Linked DNA regions of Elephas maximus indicus. The protein of the gene in region 1 purifies or fractionates together with the protein of each later gene. This does not show direct contact. Links are inferred from orthologs where the notes say so. Each region holds a gene or a part of one and is shown in the gene's direction. Other genes may lie near its edges. The genes, in order: SINHCAF, BRMS1L, SAP30L and ARID4A.

The links.
Region 2: the proteins of SINHCAF (region 1) and BRMS1L purify together in Homo sapiens (affinity purification with mass spectrometry; 3 studies listed by BioGRID and IntAct, counting the BioPlex papers as one, with this or other methods). This does not show direct contact. The link is inferred for Elephas maximus indicus from reciprocal best matches to the Homo sapiens genes SINHCAF and BRMS1L.
Region 3: the proteins of SINHCAF (region 1) and SAP30L purify together in Homo sapiens (affinity purification with mass spectrometry; 3 studies listed by BioGRID and IntAct, counting the BioPlex papers as one, with this or other methods). This does not show direct contact. The link is inferred for Elephas maximus indicus from reciprocal best matches to the Homo sapiens genes SINHCAF and SAP30L.
Region 4: the proteins of SINHCAF (region 1) and ARID4A purify together in Homo sapiens (affinity purification with mass spectrometry; 3 studies listed by BioGRID and IntAct, counting the BioPlex papers as one, with this or other methods). This does not show direct contact. The link is inferred for Elephas maximus indicus from reciprocal best matches to the Homo sapiens genes SINHCAF and ARID4A.

Annotation. Positions count from the first base shown.
Region 1 is NC_064822.1:89,800,966-89,807,905, reverse strand, and holds the start of SINHCAF (SIN3-HDAC complex-associated factor), read left to right. Parts: upstream 1-3,936; 5' UTR 3,937-4,119; intron 4,120-5,961; exon of another isoform or gene 5,962-6,043; intron 6,044-6,049; exon of another isoform or gene 6,050-6,425; intron 6,426-6,940. UniProt on the Homo sapiens protein: Subunit of the Sin3 deacetylase complex (Sin3/HDAC), this subunit is important for the repression of genes encoding components of the TGF-beta signaling pathway.
Region 2 is NC_064828.1:48,160,526-48,167,728, forward strand, and holds the start of BRMS1L (breast cancer metastasis-suppressor 1-like protein), read left to right. Parts: upstream 1-4,188; 5' UTR 4,189-4,350; coding exon 4,351-4,492; intron 4,493-7,203. UniProt on the Homo sapiens protein: Involved in the histone deacetylase (HDAC1)-dependent transcriptional repression activity. When overexpressed in lung cancer cell line that lacks p53/TP53 expression, inhibits cell growth.
Region 3 is NC_064820.1:170,584,580-170,592,559, forward strand, and holds the start of SAP30L (histone deacetylase complex subunit SAP30L), read left to right. Parts: upstream 1-4,967; 5' UTR 4,968-5,542; coding exon 5,543-5,740; intron 5,741-7,980.
Region 4 is NC_064828.1:70,643,507-70,651,405, forward strand, and holds the start of ARID4A (AT-rich interactive domain-containing protein 4A), read left to right. Parts: upstream 1-4,879; 5' UTR 4,880-4,973; intron 4,974-5,866; exon of another isoform or gene 5,867-5,958; intron 5,959-6,065; 5' UTR 6,066-6,116; coding exon 6,117-6,122; intron 6,123-7,885; coding exon 7,886-7,899.

The DNA of each region.
Region 1 (6,940 bases):
TAAATCCCTCTTCTGAACTTGAGGCACTTGTTTATCTCATGGAATGATAGATTTATAGAATTCGATGGGAGTTTAGAGGTTAGCTATTTTTGTATCCTAAATAATATAATTCATTGAATGGAATTATTGAAGAAAGATATTTTTGGCTTTGTGTGCATGTGTGTTTTGGTTTTTTGGTTGGTGTGTATGTGTGTGCACAGGTATAAATACCATTAGTGATGGAGAGTTGCCTTTTGAAGTATCTTGAACCATCATTGTGTTGAAATTTTTTTTACATTTAGCAAGAATTTACTTTCTTGTGATTTTCAAATCTAATTCCGTTCCAAAACATAAAAGAACACATTCATTCACTCTTCTAATAACAGTCCTTCAGGTAGTCAAAGATTGCTATCTTGCTCAAACTAAACATGCTCCCTCCTTCAATTATTGCTTCTATGTTATAGTTTCCAGCCTCCTTCATCATCCTGGCTTACTGTCTTATGAACTCATTCTAGTTCGTCAATGTTCTTGAAATAAAATAATTTTTATTATCTGTAATTTTATCTTTTTAAAGTATGCTATTCAAATGTCATAATATAGTGATAAATAAAGAGATTACTCTAAGAATGAATTTTTGTCAATTAAGTCATTAAGTTCAGAAACTTGAAAAGTCAATTTCAATTAAATAATAAATAGCTTTTTCTGGCAGCTGCCAATGGTTGTTGGAGGATTGGGATATCTTAGATCACATAATCAACTCCATACCTTATAGTGTAAAATTATCTGACTTGTTCTGACCACTTGCTTATTTGAACTTCAATAGGATTTAAACAAATAAGTAGCAAAACATTGTACTTGCTTTGGTGTGAGGAAAAGAGCTCTTGATTTTGTCTTACAGCTATTACTCTGTAAGGAATTTATCCCAAGGTTTAATAATAATAATCAGCTCTTTCCTGGGCTCAACAAATGATGTTTTGATGTGGTACCTGCTTGGATGAAGATATTAGACTTCATTTATAAAACAATCATTAGCTTGAGTTGTCATTACAAACGTTACTAACTGCTGATAATATCCTTCATTACCAAGCAAGAATTGTCCTCTTCTATCTTTGATATAGGTTGCTATGAGTCGGAATCGACTTGAGGGCAGTGGGTTGGGTGGGTATCTTTGATATAATTTTTCCTCTATTACAAGAATATTATAATAAGTTTTAAAGTTGCAGACAGCAAGTAAATCTCAAAAGAAAGCAATGAATTTTACAGAAGAAGAATAGCAAATAAGATAGAATTGCACAGAAAGAAATTAGGAGAGGTGAGGTGGCTTGAGCCCCTCCAGAGATAAAACGGTTTCACTGTCTGGCACATGGTTACAATTAAATGTTTGCTGAATGAATGTTTAAGCATTGAGCTACAATATGTTATAAGCAAGGTATTTGGTTTAGTCAGAGTATCTGGCTACTTAGGTATATTTTTAATTTCAATATTTTTATGAATTCATAGTGAGTTCAACATAGCACTATTGTATTTAAAAATACTCAAATATTTTCTTAGCATGGTGTAATTCAATCTCCTGTAATCCAAATTTATATTTTTCTTTCCTTTTTTTTTTTTAATGTTCAAAAATTCACTTGGGCTTCTTAGGTAACAGTATTTTTAAAAAGTATCCCATAAATGAGCTATTGGCCCTGGATAAAGCCAGCCGTAATACCAACACGTTCAAGCAACGTAATGAACCTTTGGAATGCACCTGGTTGTTCAAAAATACCAGGTAGTTGTTAAAAAAAAAAGAAGACTAAGGAATTAAAATTTCCCTTTAAGAGTTCTGTTGCTACCTTTCTTACAAAAATTACCCAGACTACTTCTTTACCTCTACTTTGAAAGCAAAGGAAATCCTGCTACACGGTATTAATTCAGTAGGTCTGGAGCTTCCAGGTACTTTCTTATCTAAACAGTATATTCTAAACACTGTAATTCCTGCAATGCTTGCACATTTGAACCTATTCCATCCTTGGAATTAAAAAATATATTCTTTACATAAACTTCCAAGAGAAAAGGCATTCAAGGTATACTTTCATATTTGTTGTAAGCAATAATAGAAGTTTTAAGAAATATTATTAAGATACTTGCAATTTTCATATCTCAAATGGCGTATAATTTGAAATTATTTTTGGAGGATCTGCCATAAACCAAATATGTATTTGAGGTAACTCAGGGGAACTTTCAAAATTTTCTTTAAAAAGAAGGTAATTTTTTATGCTCAGGGTCTAGTGTGCCATCAGTGAAAACCCAGAAATGGTTATCCAGCCTATTCAAGTTTATTATATAAGGACAGAGATGGCATTATATCAATTGAGGTGATCATTATGACTTCCAAACTCATTTTAGGTCAAATACAAAAATTGTAAACTAAAGCCAAACTCTTTTGGCTTGAGATAAGTCTACAATAAATTTGAAAATATCCATTGATTTATTATTTATCAACCAATCATTCAGAATCCATTACCTGTTGTGCACTGTTTTAGGCACCAGGATACAAGAATGAGTAAGAAATAAAACCTCACATTCTAGGGAGCAGTGTCAGGAGTTTTTTTTTCCTTCACAGGTATTAAAAAATAATTTTAATATACAGTTACAGGAATAATATACTAAAAATATTTTTAAAAGCAGAATAAGACTTCAGAAGTGGGTTTGTACTGTGTACTAGGAATTGGCTGTTGAACTAGCGTTTCACAAGTATCTATTTAAATCCATATTGTTGACATTACAGTGAAAGCAGTGAAACTTGTCAGCAGATGATTAAGTTTTACGGTTGATGTTCACACTTTTGTATTTGGGACCAATATCAAATTTCTGGGATAAACATCCTTCCTCTCTCCCCACCCTCCTGCATCATTAAATCGGGGTCTCTGCCTGTTGGGGTTAAGTGTGTTCCCGGGATAAAGGTGTATCACAATCATTCTTTTTTCATTTAATGGCAATGTTTTTTTTTTTTTAATCTGAGAAGTTACTTCAGTTTTTTTTTTTTTTTTTTTGTTGAGGCTAGAAACGTTTAGATTGTTGGTTTATTAAATATTCCACAAGGAAAATTTCCATGTTTCCCTCGCCATTTTTTCAATTCCTAAGACTACCAGTCAGTGCTATTATTTCTGGGTGAGTGGAACACCCTTTATAGGCAGCTGGAGGAGGTACTCATGTCCCTAGATTATTGGCTTTCCACTGACTAGGTTTTTGAGAAAGCGGCACTGTTGCCACTGAAATTAATAACTATTAGTCTCCACAGTCTTGAAATCTTATGGCCGAAGTGAAGGAAAAAAAAAAAAAGGAGTTACCGTTTGAAAAGGGCAGGTGGGAGTTACTGAATGGACAGGGTATGAAAATGGGACTTTATTAAAAGACCCATTTTAATTGCAAGCAAAAATAAATCTGTTGGCCCGAGGATTAAAAAAAAAGCTTCAAAAACCCAACTTCAAAGAAAATGCAGGAGACGTGGGAGAAGATGAATTCAGCCAGGGTGCTTATAAAACCACCTTCCTTGTCACCTCAGGCCAAAAACTGGGCACAGGTGTGAAAAGTTTACAGAAACAGCCTTCAAAAACTTCTCTCAATGCGAAATAGTGCGCCCTCAGAACCTCTAGGTGGAAAGCACGTCACGGGGTCTGTGTTCTCCCTTCGTGGCTAACCTTTCCGCCTTTCTCATCCCGCCACTCCCCCTCAGCCGTCGTCTCCAGCTAGGGGCCGTTTGTTTATGTGACGTCCGCAGTAGTAAGCAGTCCCCGCCCCCGTTTCCCTCTGGCCGCCTCTTTTCCCGCGCCGCGGCGCTTCTCCCCTTAAAAGGACAATAGAAGTTTCGGGAGCGCGCGCGGCCGCCCGGCCTACTCCCCTCCCCAGTCCTCGACGCGCGCGCGTCCGCATGCAAATAAGTTCGATTCAAGAGAATTTTGCACTAGGAGCTGCGCGTGCGCAGAAGGAAAGCGGAATCTACACCTTCCCGGCCAGCGGTAGCAACTGCAGAACTGCAGGAGACAATCTTTCTAGACAAGGCAGTTGAGGAGGAGGGAGCGACTGGCGTGGGGGGGCTGGCCTGGCGTGCACTCCGCACTTCGGGAACGTTTCTGCGAGTGAAACGGCTGCTTTTGGAAGGTGAGTTACTCTAACAATTACTCTGGTGAAAAACTGTTTGACGAGGCTTTGATTTCAGGGTTTTTTTTTTTTTTTTTTTCCTTCCTCTCTTTTTACCTCATCCACCTCCCCCAGCCCTTCCATACACAAACGTACACACACACACAGGAAGTTTTGTCTTGGAGATGGCATTGCTGGGAGCGCTGCTTTGGTGATCTTCAAAGTCCAGATTATTTTCTATGCATACGTTTACTGTGCATTTTTAATGGAGGGGGGGAGGGTATTTGAGGGAAACCGAAAGTCTTGGGGTGGGAAAGTGAGTGGAGCCTGGAAATAACTGAGGAGTCGCTGGAGTTGAGGGATCCACTTTGAAGGTGACAATGACTTTTCTCGGTCGCAGTGTTCTCTGGCTAAAAGGAGTTCCATGGCTGAAAGGCCCAAGAGAAAAACGACTTGCTGGCAATTGCGGAGGGGACTGGGGTCGTGCATCCGCGTGGGCGCAAGCCGTGGTAATGGTCGGGCGCCGTGGTTAAACCTCGTGCTTTAGTTTATTGCAGCTCCTTGCGTGTGTTTTGATAAGGGTGGACAATAAACGCCATTCGCTCGAAAACTAAGTTGCCATCTACTTCCGAGCAGGCGGGCGTGAGGGGGTTTAAATCGGCCTTTCGGGCTAAAAAAAAGTGCTGGGATTTGGCGAGTGCACGCGGCGTGGCGTTATTTGCTGAACTCCAGAGGGATGCGGATGCGACAATGAGAGCAACACGCGGCGCTTGAGAGCAGCCCCAGCTTGCAATGCCTGCTCTGCTCGGACCGCGCCCATGGAGCTTTTGGTGTCCGATGTTTCTTCGGAGCCTTAAGTTGTGTTACCAATTTATTCACCTGTAGCGTAGTGTGGGCGCAATGGCTAGGGCTTTCTAGGGCGACTGTGTGCGCTTTAAGATGGCCAGTTAGAGCTAAGTTGTCTTGGGGATGGAGGCAGCTGCGTTGTCTGCGCAGAAGGAGTGAGTGAACTCCGGAGGGCACTGCTTTTTGTGCTCAACATGACAGACCACGTGCTTTGGGCTGCGACCTGGGCTTTAGTCGGACGTCGGTCTGAAGGTCCGGCTCCTTGTTAGCAGCAGTCAGATGCGGTCGCTGTCGGGTAGGTCCGGCCGGCAGGACAATGTGATTTGCTGGTGATGGCGTCTTGCCAGTTTAAAAAGCAGAGTGAAAGTCGCCAACTCTCGGCTTGTGTGGGGCCTTTCTCATCAAGGACACTGTGAAACTTTGATTAAACCGGCCCGTTTCCAACAGAGAGGACCGGAGGACAGGCTCCTGACTTAGTGGGCTCGAGGTCTGAAGCCTTCCCCGCCCGATTGTCAGTGTCTTGCCCCTGGGAAACAGTCCGACATCCCTGATGCTGCACGTAGGCAGCGCCCGGCTGGACAGAAAACAAAGAGCTGCATGTGCCCGTGCGGGCCCCGCAGGCTCTCCGGGCGACCGCCGGGGCCGAGGGCGGCCCGGGTCCCGGCCCTCCGAAGTTCAGGCGCGCTTCGGGAGGGGCTTTTGTCCCTCAGTTCCTCGTGGGGAAACTTTGCGCTACTTGTATGAGGTGCCATGCTGGTGCGCGGGGAGGCGGCGTGCTTCCCCCGCTCGGGGCGAGCGGTCGGAGAGCTGGGAGCCCTCGCGGCCCCCCGCGCTTCGTCCTGACCCCGGAGCCCGCTGCCGCGGCCACCGAGGGGCCAGGAGAATGTGGCCTGGAGCTGTGGGCCCGGTACCCGGAGCCCGGAGTGTGTGTCTGGGAGGTCTGTGGATTCGCCTTTGAAGTCGAACTGTTGCCATGTTTGAATTACGTCAGGGCAAAGCCATGAGGAGGAACAAGCCCCGGCAGCGCAGCGTGCGGGAGGCGCGGCCTGCGGGAGGCGCCGGGCCGGGGCGGGCGCGGGGGCCCGTTGTTCCAGCGCAGGTGAGGGAGGAGGGGAGCGACGGCTCACCTCCCGCTGCCCTCGCCCTCGCGCTGGCGAGCAGCCCTCAGGAGGAACTTTCTTCTCGACCCAAGATGTCTTATTTACCAAGAAATTCGTCAGGGTGCATTTCTCTTTGCTGGCTTAGTGTCACCGCGTGCCGGAGGGGGAAGCGCAGTTTGGGGGAGACCCCAGGGCCGTAGAAGGACCGGAGTGGAGGGCATTTTGCCGCTTTCGGAGAAACCGGCGAGTGCGACGAGCACCTCCCCCCGCTCTGGCCCGCAAGTACAGGAACCCAGCCCCGACGACACCAGAAAACCACCGCGGGGAAGTTTCGGGGCTCCCGCTGTCGCTGCGAAGGGAAGTGAGGACTGTGGCCGAATTGTGCGTGCCGCTGTTTTCTTTGTGTGTTTGCTCGTGGGAGGGGGAATCGGGCGGGGCAGGGCTTCTTTTGGTTGGAGGGGGGTTCGGTTTCTGGGAAGGTAGGACGGTGCAGAGTTTGTTCTGGTAACTGTGACCCCCAGTCGGTTTTTATTTTTATTGTTGTTTTCTCTTTCTGCCGTCTAATAGACTTTAGATTACTACAGGCTTTTGGATGATTAGGAATTACTACTTAACTAAACATGGACCCTGGCCGAGACAGCTTTACCCCAGCATTTTTTTTTCTCCCCATTCCGTATGTTGTCCCAAGGAAGGTTAAGAAAACGTCTTTTCCCTTTTAATAATTTAAAAAATTAATCTGACCTTGTCATTAAAAGTACACAGAAAGCACCTGTTTTTGAACTGAAGTTTGCCAGACTTGCCAAGCCTTTTAATTTATGTTGCAAAACTGAACACATTAGGTTGCTCAATCTAAATTAAAGTCTGGGAGTTTGGTTTGGGGAGCATTTAAAGTATTA
Region 2 (7,203 bases), on another chromosome or scaffold:
GGAGTAGTAGTCCTGGGGTCATGTAGATGACAGCTACTAGTAGAGGTACTGTGTGGTATAAACTGGCGACAAGCTGGGGGCTTAGGGAGGCAGGAGAGAGGATCATGTGGAAGGAACAAGGAGGACAAGGAAGGCATACACTCCACAACAAGGCTCAGTGAAAGGAAGGGCACAAAGGAAGTAGAGTCCTAGGGGAAGAGCTGTGTTTCCTTTAGACCAAGAAGTTGAAGGGACTATTCGGAGAAGAGGGCGAAGATATAGGCGAGTTTGATGATGACTAACTATGAGTTCCAGAGGGTTCACACTAAATGTGTAAATATAAATGGATTAATTAAAATGTATCTAATGTTTGTATAAACCCTACGTAAAATGTAAAGTGCTATACAAATATAAAGCATCACTTAACTGCCTTGACTGAGGAAACTTCATCCTACTTTCATGATTTTCTTTACATTAATTTATATTTTCCATATTGACAATATTCTTTTCTAGCCTTTTTAACTTTTCCCCCCTATGTTGTTAGTTGTGGTCTGGTCAATTCTGACTCATTGCTACTCCATGTGATTTCCTTCACATCTTTTCTAAAATGTGTTTGGGAGAGGGGGAGGAAACCCTCACCTTAGGCAAAACACCATCATGCAACTCTAACTGCATAATCTCCTATTATTCTGTCTTCTTTAAACACCATTAGTGATGATGACAATTTTAAGAGTTGTAAGGGAACTTAAGGATTACATTATGCAACCTTCTGATTTCACAACTGACCAGAGATTACGTGGTTTGCCAAATTTAATCAGATGGATACTAACAGAGCCAGGGCTAGAACCCATGCCTCTTCCTCTCCACCTTCCTTCTGTTTTTCTTTGAGCAGCACAAACATAGATAGCACTTGCTAGAGGGGCACTGGAGTTCTGGTGGCTAAGAGTACAGGCTCTGATTTTGGAATACCCAAGGTCAAACTTCAGCTTTGACACTTATTAGCTGTGTAACCTTGGTCAAGTAATCCAACCTTGCTGTGCTTTGGTTTCTTCATCTATAAAATGAATGGTATAATAGTGCCTACCTCATAGGATTGTTATGAGAAATGAATGTACACACCAGTAATTGGCAGGTAGAGAGTGATTTGAAATTTTAGTTATCGTTACTATTTAGCAAGCACTCTGCTAACTGAGGATATAACAGAGAAAATGGAGGCTAAAGATTTTACCCACAGCTGTTTTTGTTTGGTATGGAGTTTGAGAAACAAAAACAACAAATAATTGTTATAATTTTTATAATTCTGACTATTTCACATAGAGATAAATTTCCAGGTTCTCATAAAACTGGAAGGTCTGATGATCTTAAGCCAGAATTCTTACTAACAATTGGGTAGAGCAAAAAGCAGCTGCCCTCTTTAGTCCACACCACTCACATAATGTATGTGCACACTTCCAGCTTCCATCTTTTAGCTTTACTACTTTTAGCCTGACTACTGCATGCCTTTGAAGTTGCAGCCCAGACTAAGATAATCCTTGCTCTCAAGGAATTCACAATCTGATAAGTGAGATGCATTCTCATAAACAATTCATAATACAGTGTGATAGAAAAAACTCGAAGTTGCAAAGTACAAAGTTTTGCTCTAGCCTGAAGGAACATAAGGCTGTATGGAGAGGTGGAGGAACCGATAGGGAAATGTGTTGTCAAGACAGTGGCTTTGAAAAATGTATAGATACTCACCAGGAAGAAGAAGAAGAGGGAAATAGGATATGCAAAGGTATTGAGATTGGAGACAGTTTTTGTATTTAGCAACTATAAGGGGTTCAGTTTTGGAGAATATAGTGAGAGGGGGAGAAGTAGGCTGACACTAGATAATAAAAAACCCCTAATTTGGATTTTACCTTGTGGGAGATGGAGAGATTTCGAAAGGTTTTCTGTCATTAATTTCCAAACCTAATGTAATTATGGCCAGGGTACCCTTACCACCCTCCCTCAAATGTCTTTGAATTTCATGTTTGAGAAGGAAATGCCATATAATCCATAATATTCTATGAAATCTTCAACAGCAAATTATCACTTCAAGAAGAAGCCTTGTCTTATAATGAGTAAAACATAGTTTTTAGATTTGTCTGCAAATGGTTTCCTCATCTGTACAATAGGGTTAATAATAGCACCTTCCTCAAGGCTGTTAAATTTAGAATTAAACTTAATATAACCATGTAAAGAGTTTACCAAGGTACCCACACAGAGTAAAAGTGGTCAATTAACACTAGTTATTATTACTATTATCAGACTGATTGTTGAGTCTTCCTTGTCTGTTTATTATTGAGAAAATATAACAGCATCTCATTGAGTCAAACACGTATGTATCAGTGAAAACTGAACTTAAATCAAGATGGTGGCATCTTCGCTGCATTTGGTAAAAAATAAATGCAAAATATGATTGACAAAAAATGGGCAAAGGACTTGAATAGACATTTCACCAAAGAAGATACAAAAAAAACAAACCAGTTGCTATTGAGTCAATCCCAAGTCATGGTGCCCCAAGTGTGTCAGAGTAGCTGTACTCCATAGGGTTTTCGATGGCTGATGTTTTCAAAGTAGATCACCAGGCCTTCCTTCTGGGGTACCTCTGGGTCGATTCCAACCACCAACCTTTCTGTTAGTAGCCTAGCTCATTTACTGTTTGCACTACTCAAGGACTCCTAAAGAAGGTATACAAATGGCTAGTATGCCCATGAGAAAATGTATAAGGTTACTAGTGAAATGCAAATCAAAACCACAAGGAGATACCACTTCATGACCACTAAGATGGCTATGATGAGAAAAGCAGAAAACAATAAATGTTGGTGAAGATGTTGAGAAATTGGAATCCTCACCTATTGCCAGTAGGATTGTAAAATGATGCCGAGAGGAAAACAGTTTGGTAGCTATTCAAAAAGTTAAACACACAGAATTACTATAAAAACCACTGTTGAGTTGATGCTGACTCATGGTGACCCTATAGGACAGAACAGAACTGCCCCATAGGGTTTCCAAGGACTGCCTGGTGGATTTGAACAGCCCACATTTTGGTTAGCAGCTGAACTCTTATACCACCTAGTGATACACGCAAAAGACTGGAAAGCAGGGACTCAAACAGGTACTTGTACACCAGCGCTCATTGCACCATTATTCACTACAGCCAAAAGGTGGAAATAGCCTAAATGTCCATCAATAGAGGGATGTTTGAACAAAATGTGGTATATATATACAATGGAATATTATTCAGCCTTAAAGAGAAATAAGTTCTGATACGAACAGTGACATGGATGAACTTTGAAAACCCTATGCTGATGAAATTAGTCAAACACAAAAGAACAAATATTGTATGATTCCACTTACATAAAATATCTATAATAGGCAAGTACATAGAGACTGAAGTTTATTAATGGTTACCAGGGGCAGGTGGGAGGGGGAAGTGGAGAGTCATTGCCTAGGTGACACTGAGTTTCTGTTAAGGATGATGAAAAAAAATCAAAAACAGTGGTGATGAATGCACAATTTGGTGAATGTAATTAATGTTTCTGCACTGTACACGTAAAAATGGTTGAAATGGCAAATGTTGTTATATATACTCTACCACAGTCTATATTGAAAATGACAATATAAAACACCATTCCTTTCTAGATTATTGACTGCAAAAGTTTCAAGAACAATTTAAAGACTTTTGTACACCACAGAAAGTGCAAGTTATTGTCTACAATTACTAATCCAAATAATAGTTGTGTGCGGTATTTTGGTATAAGAAACGGCTCTCCAGTTCACTCAGCTCAAAGAGCAGCCAAAATGCCTTCAGGCAAAAGACCTTTTCACACCCGACCGTAAAGTCTTAGATATCCAGGGAGCTCAGACTATCCACTTGGCGGGAAAAGGATAAACACGGACCCAAAGTTCCACAATCTGTTTCTGTTTAGTTTATAAACTGAGATCGAGTGTGTCAGCTTTTGTGCCTTGTGGGACTTGAAGTCCAGAGGGGAGAAGTGATCAGGACTGTTGAGGCAGGGAAGCCGTCAGCCCCTGAACGTCTGCGCAATAAGGACTACAACTCCCTACTAACATCAGGAGGCCGCGCTGTAATGACGGACAACCAACCATGCCTGAGCAGGGCAAACCCCGCCCCCGAGCTCGGAGGACAGCCTCCACCAATGGCAGAGCACCCAGTGCAGAGCCTGCGGGTTAGGTTGTGAGGCCCCGGCCGGGGGCGGGGAGGAGCCCAGTGGGTTCAGAACGAGCTCGGCAGTGGGGTGGGTCCGGGCGTTCAGCGCGCCCTTCATTGAAGCGGCGGTGGCCGGGCTGGGCGCCGGGAGTGGGAAGCGACGGCGTGGCTGGAAAATGCCGGTGCATTCCCGAGGGGATAAGAAGGAGACGAACCATCACGATGAGATGGAAGTGGACTACGCTGAGAACGAGGGGAGCAGCTCCGAGGACGAGGACACCGAGAGCTCGTCGGTCTCCGAGGATGGAGATAGCTCAGGTATGCGACCCAGCAGGACTGGGACCCTGAGTCCCCGCGCCGGGCGCGCGACAGGCCGCTCTCTGCACGCGGGGCAGCTGCGTCCTGCTGGGAGAGCGGGGCGGGGAGAGAGGGAAGGGGCGGGGATTGGCTCCCAGCCCTCCGCGGAACCCGGACCGATCGCGGGGCGCTGCCTGGCTCCAGGCGTGTCCCTGGCGTGGGGCGGGGCGGAGCACGGGCCTGGGCTCGCCCAGCCTCGGGTCGCGTCACTGTTCTGCTCGCGCTTCGACCCGCCCTTGGGACCCCCGGGCTGTGTCCTGGGGCTGTGGACAGGCCCGGCAGCTTGTCTTGGAGACCCAGGAAATGCCTTCTCTTCGCAGACCACCGACCTCTTTCCTTTTTTCACCTTTGCAACGCTTACTTCTCAACGTGGGTGGGTTTTCGGGGCCGAGGGTAGATTTGTACCAGCCCTTGGCTGGCTTGGAATTTACTAACCTCAGCTTCGGAGTCAGCCTGACAGTCAGCGTTTTACATCAGTTCTCTTTTGGGGACTGACTTGGGAGCTGTCCAGTTTACAGCATCTCCCTGAACTTTTCAAGCCCGAGAGGAAGGGACCAACTTCGAGGAGAAGATCCCACTTGTGTTTATAAATTGATTTTTGGCAGCTTTCAATTTCTCCAAGTACATTCTTCCTTCCCTCTTTTCTACCTTTGGGCTATTTTAGGCTTTTTTTTTTTTTTTTTTCGATGACGGAGGGGGATTAACACCTCATATCAGTTTTGCAAACTTAGGAATGGTTTTTCAAAAAAGGAATGGAATTTGTGACTACCTGAATTTTTTTTTCCGTTTATCGTTATAATGAGGATGAAACTCATTTGTTCTGGCCTGATTTTGGCCATGTAGGGTACAGGTTGAGGACAGTCTCTTATCATCCCTATATGCCTTCTTTTCAGGTTCCCCTTTAAATGTAAATCTCTTTGGAAGAATGTAACTTTAATTAATAAATCAACCATCCAAAAATAAACATTTATCAGTGACTTCTTTTTGTAGCACTGGGCACTACCCAGTGTGCGGTATAAATAGTTACACTTCAGTCTCCCTGAAGGATTGTCACCACTTCCTTAAATTCCTAAATGAATGCTTAACTATAAACGATGCTGTAGGAATTCAGAGGCAGAGAAAATCTTTTCGGAATAGGATGGCCAGCAAAAACTCCTTGAAGAGATAGGATTACTTTAATTATCTTGAAGAATGGGTAGGATTTGGATGTGGTGGTAATAGTTGGGTGTTCCTGTAGGGGGAGGAGTATAAGAAAAAGTGTAAAAGCTAAAGCTTAAGGCTTATTTAAAAGAAGGAGAAAACCAGTTTGGTTTGGAGAAGGATTTGAGCTATGAAGGGGAGGGAAAGGTATAGATACGGAAGATTTCAAAAAGCATAAAACAGGATCAATGAATGCAAGTTTAGGAGTGAAGGTAAGAGAGAAACCCTGATACAAGAAGTAGAAAAGTAAAAGATTTGAGATAAGGATGGGACATAAGTAATAGCACAGTATTTTAGACAGGTCGCATTTGAGGTGATGGTGGTATATTTAAGTAAGAATGTCCCACTGATAGATGGAAATGGTTGATTGGAGCATGCCAGGGATGGGAAGAATAACTTGAAAGTCATCTGCCTAGCTATGAGGTAAGTGGGGATTATAGATAAAGAAGATCACAAGTTCTTTCTTAAACTTTGAGGAAATCTAGACTCTGAGTGAGTACATGTCTTAGATCTTAAAACATTTTATCTGCAAGTAGTTTTTGCTTTAATTAAAAAATTTGTATTCTTTCGACTAAGGTTTATAGAACAAACTAGTTTCTCACTATACAGTTAGTACACATATTGTTTTGTGACATCAGTTGTCAACATTCTCCACCATGGGTTCCGTTACAAGCTTTCCTGCCCTCTCTTGCCTTCCCCTCCTTGCCCCTGGGCTGGTGTGCCCATTTAGTCTTGTTTTGTTTTATGGGTCTGTCTCATCTTTGGCTGAAGGGTAAACCGGGGCCTGTCTAATCTTTGGCTGAAGAGTGATTTCAGTACTGAATTAAAAGTGTGTCCGGGGCCATACTCTCAGGGTTTCTCCAGTCTCTGCCAGACCAGTAAGTCTGATATTTTTTTGTGAGTTAGAATTTTGTTTGACATTTATCTCCAGCTCTGTTTGGAACACTCTATTGTGATCCCTGTCAGAGCAGTCGGTGGTGGTAGCTGGGCACCATCTTGTTGTGCTGGACCCAGTCTGGTGGAGGCTGTAGTATTTGTGGCCATTAGTCCTTCGGACTAATCTTCCCCTTGTGTCTTTGGTTTTCTTCATTGTCCCTTGCTTCAGATGGGGTGAGACCATTGGAGTTATCTTAGATGGCTACTCACAAGCTTTTGAGACTCTAGATGTTATTCACCAAAGTAGAACATAGAATATTTTATTTATAAATTACATTATGCTAGTTGAGTTAGATGTTCCCCAAGACCATGGTCACCACAGCCCTCAGCCCAGTAATTCAGTCCTTCAGGAAGTTTAGATTTGTCTATGGAGCTTCCATGACCTTGCCTTGAACAAGTTTTACTGGCTTCTCCAGTATTGCAAACTGTCTTATTTTTCACCAAAGTTAGCACTTATCTAATGTCTATTTAGTGTTTTCCCATCTTCATGCCTCCCTCCCTCATAACCATCAAAGATTGTCTCTTTTTTTGTGTAA
Region 3 (7,980 bases), on another chromosome or scaffold:
TCAGTGCTTCCCACCATTATGTTGTACTGCCGTAATGGTCAAGTCAACCATCCGTCCATGTACTCATCCATCCATTCATTTATTCGCTGAACAAATATTAACTAAGTTCCTAAAAAAAAAACCTAGGTGCTGGAAATTTTCTGTTAAACCTCCCTGTCCTCACAGAGCTTCCAGTCTCCAAACAAGCAAGATATCTATGAGTATCTCACAGGACAAGCTCCCCCTACCAGATCCAGGGGAGGACAGAGGGCAGGTAACATCAGAAGTGTGTGTCTACACCCACCACTCCCCGTATCCCCCTCTCAGTTCCAACTGACACATTCTCTGGGGAGAAACTGACCAATGCCATATGCTTAACCCACCAACCAGCATGGGATCCATCCCTAAGTGTCCACCTGTTGCCAAAGAAGAGCACTTATTGGAAATCACGCCCAGAGAAATCTACTGAAGACCCCAAATAAGGAAAGGGCAGAGCACAGGGGAGGGAAGAGCTTATCTAGGGCTGTGATGGCCTGGTATAGGTGTCTAGCCCTGATCCTTTAAGGACTGGTTGGGGATTCTTCTAAACTGGTGCCTAATTGGATGGAGTGATTTGGTGGGCACCAAAGAGCCTGGGGTGAGAAGGGGAGAAGATCAGGGAGCTTAGTTAAGAGACCATGGTATATACATTGAGAGTCATGAAAATGTTAGTCTTTGACCACAACTCCACTTCTGGGAGTCTGCTAAGGTAATGATATTAAATTTTTTAAATATTATGTTGAAAAATATTTATTGTTGTGTTATTATTAATAACAGGTAAAAATGAAAACACAAAAATATTCAATGATTGGGGGAAGTGTAAGTAAACTATGGTAATAAAACAACAGTTAACATTAATCACTTATGATGTTCCAGGCACTGTGTTAAACATTTATTTCTCACCACGCATTTCATCAACCTTAGAGAAGTGAATTTCTCTCATACAAGTAAGGGTAAACACAGGTGAATTACCCATAGCAAGTAAAGGATGGAGCCCAGACTGACCCCAGTTCTGAAGCAAAGTCCATCGTCTTAAGCACAGTAGTATAATGTACTACAGCACTTGGGAGTATTATGCAGCCATTAAAAAGAGCGGTTGTGAGAACTACGTAACAAGCACTGGGAAAGCTCCTGATAAAGCATTCCTTGAAGAAAGCAGACTACAAAATCATATGTAAAGGACAGGCAAAATCATGCCCTTCTCCTCAAAAAGAAAATACATAGAAAGGTTGGTTATATCAGTCTGAGTCCAATAATCAGGAAAGAGAAACCATACAATAATTTGAACAGGGAATGTTTAATATAATTATTAATTTAACAGGCAACTGTAGGAAGGACAGATTGACTAAAATGAAGTACAGAGAACTCTAAAGCGTACAGAAATTCAGACCCTGTTGGAGAAGCCATAGCCGTGGTTCACAGAATGGCAGAGAAGTCCTGTTAATGAAGCTTGCCAGAAATCCACCCTCTGAAATTTACTGGTGTGATGGTTAAGCCCTCAGCTGCTAACCAAAAGGTTGGCAGTTTGAACCCAACAGAAGCTCCAAGGGAGAAAATACCTGGCGATCTGCTCCTGTAAAGATTATAGCCTGGGAAACCCTATGGGGTAGTTCTACTCTGTCACCTGGGGTTGATATGAATTGAAAATCAACTTGACAACACCTAACGTAAGAAAATGGAGCCCTGGTGCCACAATGGTTAAGTGCTCAGCTACTAACCAAAAGGTCGGTGGTTCAAACCCACCTGCCACACCTTGGGAGAAAAGACCTGGCATTCTGCCACTGTAAAGTTTTCAGCCTTGGAAGCCATAGGGGTCAGTTCTACTCTGTCCTATAGTGTCACTATGAGTAGGAATCAACTCGATGGCACATAACTATAACAACCTAACAAAAGTATGTTGGAAAAGCTGTTAACTAGGTTTCAGTATGGATTTCACCTCAACATAAAGAAAACAAAAATCCTCACAACTGGACCAATGAGCAACATCATGATAAACAGAAAAGATTGAAGTTGTCAAGGATTTCATTTTACTTGGATCCACAATCAACAGCCATGGAAGCAGCAGTCAAGAAATCAAAAGATGCATTGCATTGGGTAAATCTGCTGCAAAGGACCTCTTCAAAGTGTTGAAGAGCAAAGATGTCACCCTGAAGACTAAGGTGCACCTGACCCAAGAAAAAAAAAAAAGCCATGGTATTTTCATCACATCATATGCACGTGAAAGCTGGACAATGAATAAGGAAGACTGAAGAAGAATTGATGCCTTTGAATTGTGGTGTTGGCAAAGTATATTGAATACACCATGGACTGCCAAAAGAACGAACAAATCTGTCTTAGAAGAAGTACAACCAGAATACTCCTTAAAAGCAAGGATGGCAAGACTGCCTCTTACATACTTTGGACACGTTGTCAGGAGGGATCAGTCCCTGGAGAAGGACATCATGCTTGGCAAAGTACAGGGTCAGTGGAAAAGAGGAAGACCCTCAACAAGGTGGATTGACACAGTGGCTACAACAATGAGCTCAAGCATAACAATTGTAAGCATGGCGCAGGACCAGGCAGTGTTTCATTCTGTTGTGCATAGGGTCGCTATGAGTCGGAACTGACTTGAAGGCACCTAACAACAACAACAGGTTTATCACTACAGTGTTTCAATACAAAACTGATACAAAATCTCCCAACAGACCTGGGGATTCTAGGGGAAGCTGGTGCTGAAGAAGCTATGTGCACTGCAGGAGTCTGGCTCAGGATAGAAATGCTATTTTGAAAAATATCTAAGTGTGAAATATGTGTGGAAAGTGTAGAGCTCTTATCCCTACCAATCACCTTGAACCAACATCACACACTGCCTTATTCAGGTATATGTTTTCTGTGTAAATGTCTGAGCTCCCCAGTGAGACAACAGTCTGTTTTAGGGCAAGGGTTATGTTTTATTCTCTTCCTGTAGCCAACCCTGCACCAGGCAGACACAATGTACTCAATAATTTCTTTTGAAGATATGAACTCTGAGAGGAATTCTATTAAACTTAGCCTTTATTCCATTAAGTTTTTATTCTATATTTTTTCTACTATAAAAACAATAAATGCTTATTAGGGAAAATGCAGAGAAGTAGAACAAAGGGAGAAAAATACCAACCATATACCCACTACCCAGAAATAATCACTGTTAGCACTTTGGTATATTTCCTATGCACAAATAGTTGCTTTTCTTTTTTTTAAACATAGATGTTAACACATCATATCCCATAAACAATTTTATATCCTGCCTTTTTAACATTGTTTTTTAAAAAGCATTTCTCAACTTTGTTGAAGAGTTGATGCTGAATTGTTACATATACAGAATGTTTACATAAATGTTGAAACCACCTTAAATGTTGAAAAGATCATAAATCACTGCAAAATACCTCATTCTAAAGATGTTAGGAAATTTACTTAACCACTTTACTTCGTGAAACTTTTAGGTTTGATTTTTCCCTATTATAATCTCATAATTATCACCCTTGTGCTTAATTTTTTCTCTGGTAGGCCTGTTTCAGAAGATGGATGTCCCAGGTGTGAAATTACTAGGTTAGAGGGTACAAACACGTTTAAGGCCACTGAGACAAATTTAAGATCACACAGCATCCGCTTTTGAACACGGTAACTGGTAGCTTTCCCTTTCACAACGGAATACAAATCCGAAGCTCTTTCTGGCCATCTAGTACTCTCTAAATAGGAAAACGTGCTCACGTCCCCCTCCCTGCAAGTAAACTTTCTACCTAGCCCTAAACGACTGCGTGACCCTGGACAAGTCCCTTCGGCCCTTTGGACATCATTTTCCCTAAGCTGTTTACTAGGGGTGGCCTACCCTAGAGGATCTCCTGTCCAGGTGTGTGTGCCGCCCAGGGCGCCGAATCCCAAGCGTGGGGGCTTGGCAGGGTGCGATGGCCTCGCCTTTAGACAGTAGGTCTTGGAGCTATAGAAGCTGCAGTTCACGAGCTCCTGGGAGAGCCCCATATACTGCAAGCCCTTCCCCAGCCCGAGATTGGCCCTTGCTCCCTCCCTCCGCCCCATCCAGCCTTTTCTCCACCTCCTCCGCAGCCGCCCCTCCTTCCCGCGGTTCACTTCGCCCACCCTTCAGACCTTGTCCGGACTTTGGATTCTTCCCAACGGAGGGACCACTCAAGACCCTGGGGGTCACCCCCCCACACACACTTCAGCGCCTCCCAAGCCAGTCCCATGTCTACAGTCTGGGGTCTCCCCCACACCCAACCGTCCTACTACCTTGACCCTGCGCCTACCGCTCTGCTTCTCCTCCCTATCAGACCCCTATCATTTCTCCCGCATCTCTTTGCACGTGCCCATACCGGGACTGTCCCTCTGTTTTTCCTGACATGGCTGGCTTTCTGTCCTGTTTCAGACACCCCACCTCCCATCGATCTGCGGCTCCTCTGGTCCCGTCTCTTTCGTTTTACCCAGTCTGTCCCTTTCATGACAGTACTTGTAAACCCTTTAGGTCCTCCTTCATATGCCCCTACCCCCATGTCTGTCCCTCTGCGCCCTCGCCCCGTCTGTACTTATGTCGGCCCCCGGATGTCGTCCCTCGGTTCCCAGAGACTGTCCCTCCGTCCAGCCAGGACCCAGCTGACCATCCCTCCCCACCGCCAGGGAGTCTGCGGCCCGGCCCTCCTCCCTCGGCCGGCAACTCTTGCCTCTTCCACTTTCTCTACTTTGAACCCATCCCAGCAGAGTCCAGGAAGTAGCCAGGCGCCGGGAACTGGCGGCGGTAACGTCCAATGGGACGCGCCAGCGGCGGCGGAGGCCCCGCCCAGAGAACGAGCGAGGCCAATGGGCGCAAGGAGGCGGGACTTCCGCTGTCCCGCGGAGGGCGGGGGGTGGCGGGGGGAGAGAACTGTTGTGGTGCGGAGCGTTGGGCGGGCGGCGGCCGGGCGGCCCAGGGGCTGCCGCGGGACTCGGGGCGCAGCAGAGCGGCTGCAGGGGTGGGGCGGGCCGGACGCGCCGCGGGGCCCGGGCGCCGCGGGTTCGAGGCCGGGCCCCGCGCGGGGAGGCCGCGCCACCCCGGGAGAGCTGCCCAGCAGCGAGTTTGCCCTGCAGCCGAAAGAAGGCGGGAGCCGGCGGGGGCCCTCGAACCCCCCTGGCAAGCCGGGCTGGGAGTGCCTGGAGAGCGGCCGCTTCCTGGGGCACCCTCTCGGACGTCCCTGTCGGAGGGCGACCGTTCTGGGCCCCCGGCGGGAGACGCTCCGGGTGACCCCCGGCGGGGCCCTGCGAGCCGCGGGAGGCGGCCCCGGGGCCTCGAGAGGGGAGACAGGGGGTTTCCGGAGAAGCGGGCCAGGGGGCTGAAGGAGCCGGAGCGCGGCGGAGCGGGGCCGGGCCTCCCGGGCGCGGGGCAGGGCAGCGCCTCATCCGGAGACCGAGTCTGGGACCCTCGGGGACGGGGGTCTCAGCGACCTGCCCCGCAGGGAGCGCGGCCGCGGAGTGGCCTACCAGGGACCCTCCCCTCGCGGGGCCGGCCCGGGCCGGGGAGATGAACGGGTTCAGCACCGAGGAGGACAGCCGCGAAGGGCCCCCCGCCGCCCCCGCCGCCGCCCCGGGCTACGGCCAGAGCTGCTGCCTCATCGAGGACGGCGAGCGCTGCGTCCGGCCCGCGGGCAACGCCTCCTTCAGCAAGAGGGTCCAGAAGAGCATCTCGCAGAAGAAACTCAAGCTGGACATCGACAAGAGCGTGAGTCCGCCCCTCCGGGTCAGGGTCCCTGCGCCCAGCGGCTCCGGCCACTGCCCGGGCTGCCGTCCCGACTCCCGGGCCCTCCTCGCTCCCGGCCTCGCCGCCCTTTATCTCCCAAGCCGACGAGTTGGACTCGGAATTTGAAAGGCCGCTCCAGCGCTGACATGCCATGACTGTGATTGTGCCCAAATCCGGGGGGCGGGGAGGTTCCGAGGACTCTTCCTGCCTGGGAAGGTTGGACACCAGTTTTTGTCTTCTTTTATTGGTTTAGATACTAGAGCAGTGAGAGGTGACTTAATCTTGTTGGCCCACAAAGGAACAGGTATTGGGGAGGGGGTGATGAAGGGACCCGGCTCTTCTCCTGCTTACCCCCCAGCGTCCGGCAGCCTTGTTAGTCCTTCAGAAAAGGCAAGGTGACAGTTCGACCCTGGCCGCCGCGGCCTCAGTGTGTGCGGTGGGTCCCTGAGCTCGCTGCTTCAGAGGCAGCTGTGGGGAAATGGGTTCTTCAAGGATGTGGCAGAAAATAGTCAAGGCCAGGTCTTCGGTGTCAGTGTAACTGAAAGGAAAAAAAAAATCAATTTCCTTAGTGGTTGCCGCTTTAGAAATGCGGGGTTCTTTGTTGGGGGGGTGGAAAATTGATTTAAATTGGAATAGGATTGCCTCGTGTTTTGTGCCTAATTATAGGAAACTTTTCCTGTGTGATTTACCATTTCTAGTTAACAATTCTAAAGATGTGCCTATTGTCAACCAATTAAGAACTTTTTAGTTTGACATCTGTTGCAGCAATCCTTAAGTGGCTTCTTCATGATTAGGAATTAGAAATGAGTTAAGGGGGTATTTAATATTCTGGTTGACTGGCTTAGAGCTTAGATGGTTAACATCCATTCGCTTTTAGAATCAAAATTTTTCCACAGTTAGGGAAAATCAGAGAATCCTCATTGCTTTTTAAACTGAAAGGGAGACTATTTTTCACTTCTGATGTTGTAGTTGAGACACTGAAGGCCGGAGATAGAAAGGGGCATTGCTCAAAGTCACAGGGCACCTTAGAGACTGGTACAGTTCTTAAACCCGTTGTCTAATTTACTGCCAAGTCCCATGCATAATCCTTGATTAAGTCTTTTATAAGTAAACCTCTTCCCTGCTCTTTCGTCCAAGCTCTCCCACTCCCAGTTTTTGTTCTTTGTTTTTTGTTTGTTTGTTCCTTCAATTTAAGGATTATAATGTATTTGCAGTTCTTGAAAGGAAAGGTGCCATTTTAAAATGGTTGGGGGTGAGCTAATGCCTTTTTTTTTTTTTTTAACTACAAATCTCTGAATGAATGAATGAATAGAATTCATCTGAGAGCAAACAACTGTCTAGACATCAGGGAGGTCCCTAATTGGCAACAAGGTGTTGAAGTAAAATACTTCTTTCTAGAACAGCAATGAATTCATCCACTTGGAATCTGCCTTCTGTGTAGGTTGTTGGGAGCCTTTACTTGAGCAGATTATAACAATAATATTTTCCAGTCCTTAAAAAAAAAAAAAGAGTAGTTTTCAGTCCCTTTAAACCTTTGAATGCCCTTACATCTGAACGATTTTGCTGCTGCGACTGGGGCTCCATTTACCCAGTGACTCCAGTGGAGAGCCTGTGTTGAGCTATGTTGATAATTTCACACGCACTGCCTAGAAGAGAAGCAGCTGAACCTAGCTCTAGCATTCCCCAAAGGTAATGCTCCTGGAACAGTAGGTTTTTGAGGTGGAATCACTCACAATTTGTTTCAAGGTGGTGTTGTATAGTCATTATTTCTGAAAGGAATTCTATTTCATTCTCACAGGCTTGGGCAGGCATTCAATTCTACGTAAATGCTGTGTTACAAGAATTTTTAGCTGTTGCAGAAATTGAGATGGGAAAAAGATACTACAGCCTTTGCTGCCACTACCGCCCCCTCTAAAAGGCCACTGATCTCTGGAATTTCTCAAAACCAGTATGTTGGTTTGGTTATGGAGAAATAATGCTTCTTTACATTAAAAAAGGGTCTAACAGAGAAACTTCTTAAACAACAGCACCAAAAATCTGATTCAAGTGATTTGACTTTTTATATGTAGACATTGGCGGTGTTTTGTGCTTTATTAAAAGATATAACATGCTTTCAAACATCCTCTAATTGATGCATTTCTGTTTTTTTGTTTTTGTTTTTTTCCTGGAGAAAAGTGGAAGTTGAGAATAGTATAAAGCAAAATGTTGGGGTAGGAAAGGAC
Region 4 (7,899 bases), on another chromosome or scaffold:
AATTTGTCTTTTAAAAATCTCTAGATCTGACTCCGTACTGTACTTTGACAAATCTATTGATCTTTATTAGCCATTATTAAATCTTAAACATCAAACCCATTTGGCCACAAAGTTTCCTTTGGTTACAATCATGTAATTTCCCAAAATATAACTAAATCATTAGAAAAGCAGCTACATTCAATAGTCATCAGTTCGGCTTCTCAACAATATACTGAAGTTTACAGAAATAACTGCACAGTGAAAAAAAATTCTTTTTCACAAGAGTTACATATATATGATAACAGCACGGGGATAGTTAAATAAGATTACATACCAGGAACAGAATTTTCAACACGCATAGCAGATCTAAGTCTTTAAAACTGGAAATCCGAGCTTCATTTTTTCACAAAAACCAGGCTTGTTCTAAAAGACAAAGACTTCTTTTAGAGTATGTTACAGTCCACACTGCAAAACACAGAACTCTGGAGTCTGATTTCAAAATAGGTTTATATAATAGAAGCATTATTAAAAAATGACAATTTTGATTTTGTAGGAAAAATTTAAAATCACCTGTAAAATCATTAGGAAACTTTAAGAACACATATTCTCAGTTTCAGCTCATTCAAATACGTTACATAAAAATAATTCTATCATACTTTATTTTCTTTCATTTATACCATGGTCTAATTCACTGTTCAGGAGTCCCTGGGTGACACCTGACTACTAGCCAAAAGGTTCGCAGTTTGAACCCACGTGAGGTGCCTTGGGAGACAAGCCTGACAATCTGCTTCCAAAAGGTCACAGGCTCGAAAATCCTACGGAGCAGGTCTAATGCGCATACATAGGGTTGCCGTGAGTTAGAATCAACTTGACGGCAGCCAACAACAACTAGCCGTTCTGTTAATATTCATGTGCAAGTACTTCCCAATAAAATATCATAAAATCCTTTAAAAAAAAAAAGGATCGAGAAATTACAAAACATTTCAAGTAACTACTACTTTGATACATTTTTAATGGGTTCTACATTTTATTAGCAGTTGAAACGCAATTCAGCATTAAATCAAGTATTTGGAATGTTAAAAAAGAAAATCTGAAGGTTACGAAAGCACTTGTGCAGTATCGTTAATTCTCAGAAGAAAATTTCTATAAAGAAATACTAGTTTATCTTACATATTTTGCATACAAATATGCATAGACTGATAAGAAATACTTACAGAGCACCTAACAAGTAAGGGAACATAACGATGAAAATAGTTGCTGCCCTCTGGGAGCACTCTCAAAGGGGGAAAGAGTTAAACGATTCCAATTAATGTGTGATCAGAAGAGGCGTGTAAATGGTCCAATGAGGGTACAAAAGCGCTGAGGGAATCCACCTAAGAATGTGGAACTTTAGACAGGGGTACCCAGAAACATAAAGTAATTAAACTCAACTAACCATACCATAAGAGCAATCTGTTTGTTCTTAGTATATTCCAAATACCACTTCTGTTGTAGCAAAATGTTTCACTGTACGAATGTTCAACTATCCTAAAGATCCACTTCAGAAGCACCTAACAGAAAAAACAGTTCAAAAAACATTCCTAACCAATGACATAAAATAACGTGTACTGATGAGAAGCTAGTTTGTTCTGTAAACCATCCAAAGTTCAATTAAAAACCAAAAACGAGGGGAAAAAAAATCACTCCTAAGGCCTAAAAAAAATTCTCAAATTTACATGTAACTTCATGATTGTAATAATTCCATTTGATGGTGAGTCATGAATAAACAGATTCAGGAGTGAAAGCTCCTGACACACCTGAGATTGCCGTGTGTCAGAATCAACTCGACAGTAACTGATCTGGTACCAAATTTTAATTATGAGAAACAGAAATATTTAAAATAAGGAATACAAACCGAGAAACTGCAAAATCCTTTCAGACTGCAGATCTGAACGACAACCTCAAGTAAAAAGTGGTCAGCACAACGCTGTACAGAATGCCAACCTTTATGATTCTCAGGGATACTTGTACTGGATTTATTTTTCTACCTATAATGTTTTATATTTCTGCTTGTGCTCTATTAAATTTTGACTCTCTAAAAAAACAAAAATAGAAAAATAGAAACTTGGGGGAAAAAGCAGTAAAAAGAAGCAGGATAAAAAACATAATTGCAGCAGAAGTAAAAGCTTTCTGATAGACAATTATACAAGTATCAAAAGCCTTAAATGTATAATCCCTTTGGTCTTATATTTCCACTTCTAGGAATTTATTCCAAAGAAATAATTAGGGATGTGAAGGAAGATCTAGATGACTAGAAATTTTAGTCAGTGATGTCAATCATTAGGTAAAATATTTTGCAAAACATATACAAGAACGCTCAGTGACACGTTACTGCTCTTCAGTAAAATTAAGACAGGTTTTATAAATTATCTAGCCTATACAGTTGGACAATATTTCCAATGTGCCCAATGTTTTCCATAAAGAGAAAAAACATGAGTGGCAAAATACACAACCAGACTGTGAAACAAAACAAACCAGAATCCCTCCATAAGTACAGCATAAAACGTGATTACCTTTTGGTAGAGAGAATATAAGAGATGGTTTTCTTCCTTGGGCTTTTTATAATTTCCAAAAGCCTACTCACCTGCATTATTTATATTAGATAATAATTTAAAGTTGGGCAGTGGAATTATAGGTGATTACCCCCTGGGAAATTCAGAAGCATTATATTGCTTTAGCATTTCCTTAAAAAATAAGAAAATCACTTCTAAATACTTACTGACAAGATTGTCTTCATATGCTAAGTTTTTACACAGGAGAAAAAAATCATGAAAATGTTCAGTGTTTCATGATAAAAATATTAAATACTTAAAAATCCAGAGATGAGAACTACCTGAATGGGTAAAGAAACATATAAGGCTGACCTAATTTCCTAATTTTTCAATTTCATCCTAAACTATCACATCAGGCAGCTCATATGAACCCTCTGCCAAACAAAATATCTTTCAACTACTATTCTTCCATACTATCATTCATGGCTCTCCTCTAGTGGTTCACAGAAAACTTTTCCATGTGGGTCTCCCCAATTCTAAAAATTTTTACAGGTATCAGGACTCACCTCAGTAATATCTGGATATTTGTCATTGAGATGTCCTATACTTTCCTCAACACAACTGCCAAAAAGAAACAGTAATAAATTAAGTCACTCAACCATTTTTTAGTCTTGAGCCCCACCAACAAAACAATAGGGTTTAAAACACTGGTATTATGAGGATAATTATAAGATATGCATCTTGGAAACTCTATGGGGCAGTTCTACTCGGTCCTCTAGGATCGCTATGAGTCAGAATCACTCGACAGCACTGGGTTTGGTTTGGGTTTTGGTATCCAGGTAAGTGTGGCCAGTCACTCAACAGAAAATACTGACATACATTTCACGTAATAAATAATCTTCTGAAAAATCACTGCTATGAATAAAAAGGTTCAGGTTTAAATTCCCTTATTGAGTAAAATCAGTCCACGTGGATTATCGAAAATATCTCACATTTTTTATTATCTGAGTCTTTAAAAGTACTTCTTAATGAATACTCTAATGCCACCACTTAAAATCTGTAAGTTTTTGTTTCACTCAACAGAGGAGTTTGCTAAAAGAATACCAATAGCTGCCCTTAACTATTCTTATCAGCGAGGTCCGAATGTATTTCAAGACCCTACAAAATCATTACTGTTTCCTTTCAAAAAGTAGCTCGAGCCTTGTGCAGTGTAGCTTAGCCACTTGTCCAAGGTCACAGAAGCAGCGTCAGTGCTGGCAAGCAAATTCCTCAGCATTTGGATACCCAGAGCATTCCTCAGTTTCCTCACAGCTTTGTCACGCGAGGAGCACGCGGAAAACCCTCTCCCCACGTAGGATGTGTCTGAGTAAGAACCATTCCTTTCCCGTCTTAAGGTGGCCCCCACAGCCAGTGACGCTCAGCTGGAGAATATGTCTATTCTAAACTGAGGAAGGACTGCTGGGACAATAGCAAACTCAAGAAAACCTTCCCAACTCTTGAGATCACCACCCAGAAAGCGACGCGCTCGTCTCCTCCGCCTCTTCATCTGTCGCGCGGCGAGTAAGCCTCGCCCCCTTTCCTCCCACCGCCCCCCCCCCCCGCCCCGAGGCAGAGAGAATTTACTTTGCCATGGCTGTCGTGTGGCCCCTCCACTTCCGGTGCCGCTAAAGCTGCGCCATTCCCCAGTCAGGCAGGCTACCATAGCCTCCAACTGACCTTTTTGAAGGGTCCGTGACTCTTCCGCTATTCACTGAGTGGTGTCCTGGAGGGAACGGTAAATAGGTCCCGCACTAAAATGAACCTACCGGATAGACGCTCCAATCCCTTCTCGCCAGAAACATAAAATGCGATAGAGCTGTGGCCACCGCTGCCGAGACAAAATGGCGCCGAGAAGCCGCCTTAGCGCAGGCGCCTTAGAAAGACTCTGCCCCGCCCCCTTGCGAGCCCCTGGCCGCTGCTCCAGGTTCTGTTTCCATGGGACACTTCGGCGCCAATCCTCGTGCCGAACTGCTCTTCCTGACCCCTCAATTCACCAATCAGTGCTCAGTCAAGCACATCCGGAGTCGTTTTTACCAATCATTTCTCAGGACTTGCTTACTCAATACCTTACCTTCCAATAGCACTGGCCTTCGAAGATGGCCAATCATAAGTGGACGATGTCCTACCTGCTGTTTTTCGCACCAATCCGTGAAGTTTCAGAGCTACATCCAATGAGGACGGCAGCTAGCGAGCTCCAATCCGAAGCTCTTCGGCGTCATGAGCAGCCAATAGGAGTTCGTGTAGGAGCGAGTCTGCTCAACAGCTTGTTATTTGGTGGATTGTGGCAGTAAATCGGGCGAGTGGGGGACCGGGCGCAGGAACTGCTGCCGCGGCCGGTAGAGGTGCTGCCCGGACCGGGGCCCGCGGGGGGCCAGTGGGGGCAGAGCACTGGGGAGCTGACAGCGCGCACTTCACCCGCACTCGGTAGGTGGGGAGAAGGGAAGCGAAGGATACTGAATGGAGGAAGCAGTAGCAGCTGGTGCTCCTGCCCGGGGTCCCGGTGCAGTTGGAAGCTTTGGAGGCGTTGGAGGGGGGTGCCAGGCAAGCGGCGCAGCGAGCACAGGGGAAGGGGCAAGTCGTGGAGCAGTGGCAGCAACTGCAGGAACTGCCGCTGCAGCCGCCTCCTCGACCGCCTCCCCGTGTTCCCCGGGAAAATGGCTGTGGGGCTGGCCGCGCCGCTAAGTTTGCTTCCGCGCGGTGAGGAGCGGGTTGCTCCGGGGAGCCGGCCTCCAGCTCCACGGTGCGTCCTCTCCCGTAGTGTCCGTGGCAGGACCGGAGGGGCTGGGGGCTGGTGCCTCTCTCGAGCTGTACAAAAAGTTGAGGCGGGCGCGGGGAGGAGGCGGTGGCTGCCGCTGTGCGGCTCCCCTCCCCTCCCACACCCTGTCCCGGCCACCTCCCCTCCTCCTCTCCGCCCCCCGAGCCCCCTCCCCCTCGCGTATCTCCTCTCACCTCTCCGGGCTTCGGGCTGAAGGCCGCGGCCCCTGCCACTTCGGGGTGAAGAAGCGCTTCGGTTTCCTGACATGGTGCAGAGTGAAGGAAGGAGAGCAATGGCGCCGTGACACTCCGTTGCCTCCACCGCGGGCCCGGGGCGGGCCGAGGGGCCCGAGCGGCGGAGGCGGGTCGCGGGCCTAAGTCGAGAGTATCCGGGGGGCGGCTGAGAAAAGGCTCGGCGACCTTCCGTCTGGTGGGCTGTGGGAACCCGAAACGCGCACTGCCCTTCTCCAGCGCGACCCGTCCCGGGGCTCCGAGTTCAGCATTCCCAGTCAAAGTGGCGAGCGAGGCGGGGGCGCGGTGGGCCGCTGACGAACTCCGGGGCGGAACGGGCTGCCCTTTGGCGCCTCGAGGGTTCTTGCTGCCCCTCTGCCCCTGCGTCCTGGCCGCCCTCCGAGGGGATCTTATCCCTTTGCTGGTGAGGCTTCTGCCCCTCCCCGCTGGCGTTTGTTTACTTTCTTTCCCTGGGTCGCTCCCCGCTTTTGGCTGACTCTGTGCCTGTCTTTCCCCTCCCCATGATTCTAGCGACAGTGAAGATAGCTCGTTGAGCTGGAACCCCACAGATCACCAATAAAAATGAAGGTAAGTAGAATCAGTGCTACTCTGGATCTCGAGATGTCCCTGGCCACTGCCTGTCGTGAGGCTCCTGCCGTGGAATGTCATTTTTTTTGGTTCTCAAAATTGATTACTAAGCAGCACTTAATGAAAATGAGGACGTGTTGAATGGCTGAGAAATGATCAGTGTATCTAAATGCAGACGGTTCAGCCCCTTTCTGAAGCAGTTAGCGCTTTGGAAAGGCTGGTGCAACCTTTCAATTGTCCATTGGGCTAGTATTTTTAAACACTTCCTGTGTTGGCAGCAACCGTCGCAGAAGTAAAGCTTTTGTCCTGCTTTGGTGCTTTGGGGGATTTTTTGAAAATTTTTTTTCTTCTGTGCCAATGCAATTTGCTAAGAGAAAGAATATGGGGATTGAGTAAGGGGTATATGTCTTCTGGGGATATAGCGAAATTCCGGGCTAAAATATTTAAGTTGTACTAAAACTAATAATAGTTTTACTCCAATTTTCATAGTAAATTTTTTTTTTAAATATATCCAACCTAAAAAAAAAAATTCTTCGGAAGACAACTAATCTTGCAAACATCAGCATATGATATTTAAAGGGGAAGGTATCCTAACATTCTGGAGCGCTGTGGCACTCAATGTTTCAGTTTGGGTATTTTTTTGTGGAAAGCATTCCTCTTCATTTTGCATTCTTTGTAAATCCATTACCTTTAAAAGGTACCAGATTCCCGACTCGTTTACTGTTTCAGTGTATTAAGCTCTGAAACGTGTATGTGGCATTTTCCAAAACTTTCTTTTTCTTTCCTATCTTCTTGCACTAAGTGACACATCTAACCTTCTTTAATGTTACTAGGAAAAATAAAAAGCCTTTTTTTATTTTTTAAACTTAATCTGTCTCTAAAGTGTACACTGTTACCTTTGCACTCAGCAATGTTGAATTTGGAACTTAGCTTTAGGAAAAAATAGGCAAAATGACAGATTGAGATAGCAATCATTTTATTATTGTCAAGATCAAAATTAATGGTAAAATAAAATTTCTTGCATCGTTCAATGTATCATTCTAATCATGGCCATTAGACATTTCTTAGCGAAGCTCGTTTTTTATACCAGGATTACCAGTTCTGTAAGCTAGGTAGGGCTACAGTCTTGAGACATCAGTTCCCATCTCTGCGTTCATTAGCTGTATTTAGACTTAAACTTTTTATATGCCCCTTTCAACCAAAAAATTTTCCGAATAATAATCTCCTTGTCAGGATGGTTGTCTTCATTTCTTATATGTATAGTTACACTGTATCTAAGGTACAGGCTTTATGTAGCTATGTTAATAAACCTTTAATTGCATATTGTTAGTATTAATTTTAATAGCAATATTTCTTTTAATTTGAAGACAACATTTTGAGGAGACCATAAATGAATGGTTTAAAATTTTATGGGAAATGTCAAATGAATATAGTTTTCCTCTTTTTTATTGTTTTTCTGTATTTTATATAAATTGTAGAACTGTTGAACCATTTTATATCTATAAAAAATTATTGTATTTTCTTACTGATACTTTGTGATTACAACTATAAAACATCTTCTATTAGATAAGGACATCCAGTGTATAAAGAGCTATTTAATAAAATGTTGGCTTTAAGGGTATTTTTCTAATTATTAATGATATTAATAAGCAAATAATTTTAGCATTCCTTTCATTTTAAATACAGAACCTTTAAACGAGTCTTGAAGCTGAAGTAGGAAAAATTTTTATTTTTATTTTTAAATTTTATGATCCTTTCATCAGGCGGCGGATGAGCC